Mus musculus: one gene and its partner. Each later gene encodes a partner of the first gene's protein in a complex. Links are inferred from orthologs where the notes say so. Each region holds a gene or a part of one and is shown on either strand. Other genes may lie near its edges.

Region 1 (3,617 bases):
GGGCTTCAAAGTGCACATCATTGCAGAAGGAGGTTGAGGACTCACCTGAGTAGAGTGACATTGGCTGGTGAAACCTCAGTGAGCCCTGGGGGCAAAGGCCAGGGCTGGGCAGGACTGAGTCCCACCTGACAATAGTAAGGGTTGGGTGCTGTCCTGATGGCAGAGGATCGAAGCTTGCTTAGCTCAAGCTCAGGGCCTGGCAGCCTGGTCCCCCACAGGCCCTGACACTTCTGGTTCACTGTGGGTGAGAAGAGAGGTATTTATCAGGCCCACACTGCTTCCCCAGGCCCAGGACTCCCTGGCACTACTCCTAAAAGCTGAGAGGACTCCACCATTGCTCTGTGGGGTAAGGGCCATGATGTCAGCCACATTTAGCCTAGAACCACAGAGAAGCCCATCACAGCCTAGGAGAGAAGGGTCGGCCTGCATCAGCCATGCTAGATGCCCATACCTAGAATCAGGACTGCACACATCATTAGGAGACTCAGTGCCAAGGCTGCCACTACAGCTCCCATCAGGATCAGAGGGCTTGCGGTGGTTGGCAGGTCTAGGGAGAAAGAACAATGTCACCTCCAGCAGGAGGGTCCTCTGTCCTGCTACCCTCAAGTATTTTTCTCGTTTGTCTTGTGTTTTGTTTTGTCTTGTTGTTTTTGAGATAGGGTCTCCCAATAACCCAGGCTGGGCTCAGACTCTCAATTCTGCTGCAGCCTACTCACTGCTGGGATGAGAGGTGTATGCTACCATGACTGGGTACCCTTAAATCTTATCCATGCTTCAAGCCCCATCTCAGTGTTTACTTTCCCACAGTGCCACCCACAGTTGTCCCCAGACAAAAGCAACTCTCCCTCTCGAGAGCCCCTTAACTATTTGATACCTTCCATAGCAACTGCCATTTTTAGATACATATCTATATCTAAATATCCATCTTGCCTCCCACACTGGCCTACATGTTCTTGACAGGAGACTGTGCCCTGATCCATTTCCAATGCTCTATGAAGACATACCCATGCAAGTGACATTATCCACAGCTAGCTCCGTGCCCTCTGGGCACGTGCATTCGGCCGTCCAGAGCTCTGCCTGCCACTGGCAGTCTTTGAAAGGGCAGTGACTGCAGTTGGGATGCTTTCGGATCTCCACCTCCCCATGGCCCTCTGTGACTGCAGAGTAAAAGAGTAGACATGGTGGGATGGGAAGTGGGGGTGGGGATGGGGATGGGACACACAGGTCTTTCCAGTCATATGGCTACTCCTAGTCAGGAGTGGTCCCAACCACAGCAACACAAAGGGTGATGTCAGAGCCCCGGGGACTTAATTTCTGTTGACTGATTTCATTCAGAGGTAGACCAAGCCATGCACACACATGCTTGTGAAGTCAGACTTTCTTTTCTTCTTCTACTATGGTGTCAGGTCACCAAGCTTGAGAGGCAACGGTTTTACCAGATTGAGGAGGAGCTGGCCAGGCTGAGAATCAGGGGTTCCAGACAAATACCTGCCAGAGGCTGTAGGTAGAGCTCACCACTGGGGTGGACAAAGGATGTGCCATCTTCCCCATCAGCCCAGAGGAGGTCAGACTCAGAAGTATCACCGCCTTGAAATGGAGAGTGATAGAGGTTTTTGTTTTTTGTTTTTTTGTTTTTATTATTATTACATGTAAGTACAGTGTAGCTGTTTTCAGACACAGCAGAAGAGGGCATCAGATCTCATTACAGATGGTTGTGAGCCACTATATGGTTGCTGGGATTTGAACTCAGGACCTTCAGAAGAGCACTCATTGCTCTTAACCCCTGAGCCATCTCTCCAGTCCCCAAAAGGTGCTTAGCATCTTTTGTTTGTTTGTTTGTTTTGGTTTTGGTTGGTTTTTTTGTTTGTTTGGTTTTTTGAGACAGGGTTTCTCTGTGTAGCCCTGGCTGTCCTGGAGCTCACTTTGTAGACCAGGCTGGCCTCAAACTCAGAAATCCACCTGCCTCTGCCTCCCTCTTAAATCCTCTGCTGGGATTTAAGGCGTGTACCACCACCACCCGGCTGATGGAGGTTTAACTACAAAAAGGAGACTGGTTGAGGAGGAGCATGCAGCTGCCTTGTGTGGGAAGCTGGCTTATGACCAGCAGGAAAGCTAAGATCTCCCATTGTAAATCGTGTGCTAATGACACTGCCATTGAGGGGCTAGAGAAAGGGGGACTGGCTATTCTGCTGGAACCCAAAGACCTGGCTTAGCCTGGCTGGACCCCTTGTCTGTCTGAGCCCCTCCAGACCATACATTGAGCTGTGAAATGAGGAATGTTCAACCCACAAACTCCATTCCTGTGTGAACAAAGATGTGTCATGAAATATTTATGAACAGTCCAGGCCTGATAGACTAGGAGTTCTACATCAGTATCCCCAAATTCTGTAGCATCTTAGGACCTGTTAAAACAGAAGACCAGCACCTTTCCTGCTGACCTCCCCCTTGCCCCCCATGCATTTCTCTTTAAAATGAACTATAGTAACTAAATTTTAATCAACAAATAAGAACTGTGTAGTATTGTGCATAGTATGATACTTTGAAATGTGCATGCATTGTGCAATCATTTAAGCCGTCAAACCGTTTTTTGTAGTGAGAGCACCTCAGAAATACTCTCTTAGCCATGTTGTTGAGACTAGGGGTGTAGCCTCGTGGGAGAGCATTTCTCTAGCATGCCCAAGGCCCTTGGTTTGACCATAGGCTGGGTTTTATTCCCTATACTGACAGAACCAAAAATATTGGTATTAATTGTGATTAGTATATTGAACTAAAGATAACTTAAATTGACTCCTCCTATCTAATTAAGTTTTGTTTTAATGTTTGACCAACATCTCAGATTTTATCTCTGTATTTTTCTTTCTTTTTTTTGGTTTTTGGTTTTGGTTTTTTTGTTTTTTTGTTTTTTTGTTTTTGTTTTTTTTTGTTTGTTTGTTTGTTTTTTTGAGACAGGGTTTCTCTGTATAGCCCTGGCTGTCCTGGAACTCACTTTGTAGACCAGGCTGGCCTCGAACTCAGGAATTCGCCTGCCTCTGCCTCCCGAGTGCTGGGATTAAAGGCGAGCACCACCATGCCCGGCTGAATTTTTATTTCTAATAACTTCTGTGATAAGCACACTTTGAGAACTACTGATTTAAACCATTCTTGCTCATAGGCCTCCCAGCGCAGCATGCTAACAAGACCGGCCCTAAATTCCTTAGACTTTGGCAGAGTAAGGATTTGTTTTGGAACGGGCACTTGATTTAATTGCGTGTGTGATTTGCAATTGATTTTTGGGCTTTTCTTTTTTGTTTTTAAATCAAAGTTCCGTTGTGGGGCCCTAACCGGCCTGAAACTCACAGAGATCTGCCTGTTTCTGTTTCCTGATAGTAGAATTAAAGGAATGTGCGACCAAGCATGGGTAATTTGGCCCTTTGTAAAAGACAAAACAAGACCAGCCTGCTTGGTGGTGGTGCAAGCCTTTCATTTCAACTCCTGGGAGGCAAAGGCAGGTGGGTATCTGTGAGTTCGAGGCCAGCCTGGCTTACAGAGGGAGTTCCAGGTCAGCCTGTCTCAAAAAAGAAACCCAATCTTAAAACAAAACAAAACCAGACAAGTCTGTAGCCCAGCCTGGCTTCACT
Region 2 (4,285 bases), on another chromosome or scaffold:
CTCCACCCTCACTCACCCCCCACTCCCTGCGCCTTGTGTTCCAGAGTAATACTAAACTTCCGATCTGATATTTCTAATTAAATTTAAATGTGAAATTCTTGTTCATGTCTGTGAACTTGTAATTTCTCAGCATTTCACTTAAGACGTGAGAAAGTTTGTTCCTTCTGCTAAGGACTCTTAAGGCTGCCTGGGAATGGGAGCATCAACATGCTATGGTGTTTGCTTAGGAATCAATGGTTCGCTTACTGCTTCCTCAAGCGTTCTGAGTGGGAAGTCTGCACAACAACTTTCTTGAAAGAGTTCTAGTCAAAGGCATGACTTTATAAAGCTCTTATAAAAGTGTTTTGTGCCTCCTGCTACAATTTCCTGGGCATGCTTGAAAACGTAATGCTTGAGTAAATTGAGATTTTTTATTTTCAGTTTGAGACACACAGGTCTCTTTGAAGAGAAATTTCGAGCCAATCAATGATTAGAGAACCACAGAGCCTTTCCATCCCCCTCAGTTATGAGAGGGTAATTAATAATCAAGCATGGGCATGTTGATATGTATACTTAAGTCAGGCAGACAAAATGGCTCAAATCATAACTGACAAAGTACTGCTTCATCTAAGACTCTTGATTTTAAACGAATGAATTTATCCTCTCCCATTCTTTGATATTAACACCGACAAAACTTTGTGATAAGAGTCCCATAATTATAGATAGATAGATAGATAGATAGATAGATAGATAGATAGATACATAGATAGAGGATAGATAGTTAGATAGATAGATAGATAGATAGATAGATAGATAGATAGATAGATAGATAAAAACAGGCAAATAAAAAAACCAGCCATGAAGATCTCTAGTCTCCAGTACAGAGGTAGTTGTGCCCCGGTGTGGCCACTCATGGCTTCTGCTGTCCCGATTATAAATCCTTTGACTTTCTAGGGGAGGCTCTGCCTCCTCTAGGTCTCTGACCGATGGGGACTCTGGACTCAGGGACAGCGGGAATGCTCACCTGGCCAGCTCTGTGGCATTGCGGAGCTCATGATCCAAGAGCTCTGCACCCTGCCTCTGCCAGCAGAAACCCCATCCCGCTCTCTTGTGTCCAGAGCTACAAGTTGCTTTCGATCCCATGGACCAACGGAAGCCATGACCCAGAGACCCACAATTAAGGCATGAGACAGAGCCGGATAGAACTTGTGACTCGCCGGTGCGACTTGGTCCTGTCTCTGCCCCACATCCTGAAGCCGAGGAAAAGATCCCCCCGGAAGCTGCGTGAGCTCCGGAGGGTCCTGTGTCCCGACATACCCTCGTCCTGGGTTCTCTTGGTCCCCCAGCACCGCCCCGCCTCCGGTCCCCGCCCAGCGCCCTAGAGCGTTTAGACCTAGTCACCCGCGCCTCCAAGTTCCATTGCCGCCCCAGCCTGCCGCTCCCAGCTACGGACACGGAGGCCATGTGGCTCACTAAGCCCAGCACCCCGGTGTCCGCACTGCTGCTGCTGGCGCTGGCTTTGTCCCCGCCTGGGACTCAGGGGCGGCCCCAGAGAAGCTTGGCAGCGCGTGTCGCTGAGCTCAGGCCAGAGCTCTTCCTCCCTGTGACAGGGACTCGCCTGCCTCCCAGAGCCTCCCGGAGCACAGGTAAGCCCTGTATGACCCCTGACCTGCCCTTTCTACAGTCTAACCACTCTTATAGCTGGGCAAGCTGCTGTCGGGAAGGCTGAATTAAGTAGAGCAGAGGGTGGACACCTGTAGATTCCTGGGAATCTTTTCCCTGGGAAGGAAATAACAGGTTGACTATATTTGCCTTGGTTCAGTCTTCAACAACAAAATTCGTCTGGGGGGAAAAAAATCAGCTTTATATGCCTCATTCCTAACTGTGGGAGGTCTTTTGGAAATACATTAACCCAACTGTGGAAAGACTCGGGTCGCAACCTTGCCTTTCAGGATGATGGACAATCTATGTATGTGACAATAGATCACCGTCCAGAGATCTCTCTGGGTCTTCTGCGGTTTAACTAACATGGCACTCCTCAGGCAGAGTGGGAATTTCAGGGAGCTGCCACGGCTGAGGCTGCTTCGATCTTTTTTGCCCCTGGATCAGTTAGATGGGCCCTAAACGCTACAATCTCTTCCAATGTCAAGTCTGGACATTCCTGCTATCAAGATGCTTAGGAGGAAGGTAGGAAAAGTTGTCAGGATAGAGAACCAGCACCGCAAGACACCTACACACAGAGATGTGTGAATGAAAAGGCAAGGGGAACAGGAGGTGTAGAGAAAGGATTGCTGGGAGCAGTGTAAGAGGCTGGCAGGTGGTGGTGAGGAAGAGAAAAGCCACTTTGGAGTATCTTTGCATAAGCCTGTAGTCAGAGCAAGGGGAAGCTGGAGCAAAGGGCCTGTCTCCCTGGCCTTCACTGAACTTGCTGAGAGAACAAAGCAAGCACAGGGGTGGCTTGGGTTAATTATACCACTGCACCCAAGGCCTCTTCTGCACCCTCTCTCCCTTTCTCTCTTGCTCCTTCCTTGAGCCTTATTTTCTTCCTTCCTTTTCTTCTCCCTCCATTCATTTTAATTCCCTTTTGTCTGAAGCAGAGTCGCACTTTGTAGCCCCCGCTTCACAGCCTCCTGGGTCAGCCTTAGAATTATTGGCATATACTACCATAGTAGCTCAGGCTTCACTTTAAAGAAAACAAGAGGTGAGGATTTCTTAGTCTCTCTCTCTCTCTCTCTCTCTCTCTCTCTCTCTCTCTCTCTCTCACTCTCTCTCTCTCACTCTAGCTGGTTTTGTTTTGTCTTGAAGTTTTACTCCATAGTTCAGACTACTTGGAACTCAATCTATAGTTCAGGCTGTCCTTGAATTTGCAGAAATCTTCCTGCCTTCACATCCCAAGTTCTGGGCTAAGAGGTGACCCATACCTATTTTACCAGTTATGATATAAATATATTCCCAGTCACCCTATAGCTTCTAGTGAGAAATTCCTTCCCAGGTACATACCTTGCAGAGAACTGAGATCAAGAAGATGGATAGGAGGACAAGTGTGTCTGTCCTTCACTACATGTCTGAGGGAGAGAGAGTAGGGGCGTGCACATACACAGACTGAGTGAGCCAGGCAGGGAGAGAAGCAGAGGGAAGTGACAGAAAGACATGGAAGGCTAGTAAGGGGATATAGACCAAACCTATTTATCTGGAAGCTCTCCAGATAAGGCAGTAGGGGCATTCAGTATGGGGGAGTCATACCTTGATGCTTTCACATTATTATACCCTTTGACTTGAAAATTATTGCTAACAAAACTATTTATCTCAGGTACTAGTGTTGCTTTAGAATACAAACGGAACGTGAGAAAAACATCAAATTGCAAAATCACTTATGGTAACACATGAATTTTACCTGTTTTATTTTAGTTTAATGCGATTTCTCTGGTTAAAGACATTGGAGAAAATTGGGGGATATAGTTCAGTGGTAGAACTATATCCTAGAACACATGCGGGCCTAGATTCAACCAGCAATTCTCCTCCCAAATGACAAAGAAGATGTAAAAACCGTATAGCCTCAAAGAAAATGAGCTATGACTCACCCTCAAAATTTATTGCTTTCTACAGCTGTTTGAGGTGGCCTCATCTTTTGATTACTGTATCTTGTTTACATGGGGAGAGAGAGGGTGACTGGTTACATCTGAGTCTATGAATGGAACTCTTGACATGGATCAAGGAAAAGCAAGGACATGAATGCAGAGAAGACAAGTTCCCATCGGGAAGTTTTCATAGGAGCGGTAAGTGGTCATAATTCATCCAGGAGGAAGCGTCTCCCAAGTCCTCGAGGCCAACGACTGTCATCCATGTTGAGCAAGCCTGCAGTTGCCCTCTGTTAGTCTAAAGTAGAACCTGTAATGTTACCCAGCCTCAGCTGGTGAAAAAAAAAAAACGAGTTCAGGGGTGGTTTAAAATGTCCTGGAACTCCCACTGGGTAATCGTGTGAGAGTAGCAGAAGTCTCTTGTGTCCCTGCCTGTGTTTTTAGGCTTAAGTTCTGGAATTCTTTCTTTTTTTTTTTTTTTTCTCTGGAATTCTTTCTGCACCTGTAAAAACTACCTCAAATGCAGCTTCTCCTCTGGTACTTTGACCACACAGATCATCTCTGGCACTGCATTGTGGTGGATCTTCCTGCACACCACAGAAGCAGTTCTGCAGTAAACACCAGCTGGGGTTCTAATTTAACTTGGTTCTGGCATTTACCATCTCTTGAAGATGAGAGTCAGAACCTACAAGCTGAGGACTGTCTCTAAGACTGTCACTGCCTCCATT

What was found.
Region 2: the proteins of Ltk (region 1) and Alkal1 are in contact, whole or in part, in a crystal structure (PDB 7NX0), measured with the Homo sapiens proteins. The link is inferred for Mus musculus from reciprocal best matches to the Homo sapiens genes LTK and ALKAL1. Residues at the interface, in NP_002335.2 of Homo sapiens: Tyr124, His140, Phe143, Ala250, Ser251, Pro252, Glu253, Leu359, Phe360, Leu361, Gln362, Leu364, Ala365, Val366, Glu368, Glu372, Glu374, Arg376; in NP_997296.1 of Homo sapiens: His93, Arg96, Leu97, Asn100, Thr101, Arg102, Glu103, Arg112, Arg115, Leu116, Arg119, Leu120, Ser123.

Annotation. Positions count from the first base shown.
Region 1 is NC_000068.7:119,754,127-119,757,743, forward strand, and holds part of Ltk (leukocyte tyrosine kinase receptor isoform D precursor), read right to left. Parts: intron 1,588-3,617; coding exon 1,489-1,587; intron 1,158-1,488; coding exon 1,005-1,157; intron 548-1,004; coding exon 452-547; intron 239-451; coding exon 46-238; intron 1-45. UniProt on the Homo sapiens protein: Receptor with a tyrosine-protein kinase activity. Following activation by ALKAL1 or ALKAL2 ligands at the cell surface, transduces an extracellular signal into an intracellular response.
Region 2 is NC_000067.6:6,357,890-6,362,174, forward strand, and holds the start of Alkal1 (ALK and LTK ligand 1 precursor), read left to right. Parts: upstream 1-1,441; coding exon 1,442-1,625; intron 1,626-4,285. UniProt on the Homo sapiens protein: Cytokine that acts as a physiological ligand for receptor tyrosine kinase LTK, leading to its activation. Monomeric ALKAL1 binds to LTK, leading to LTK homodimerization and activation.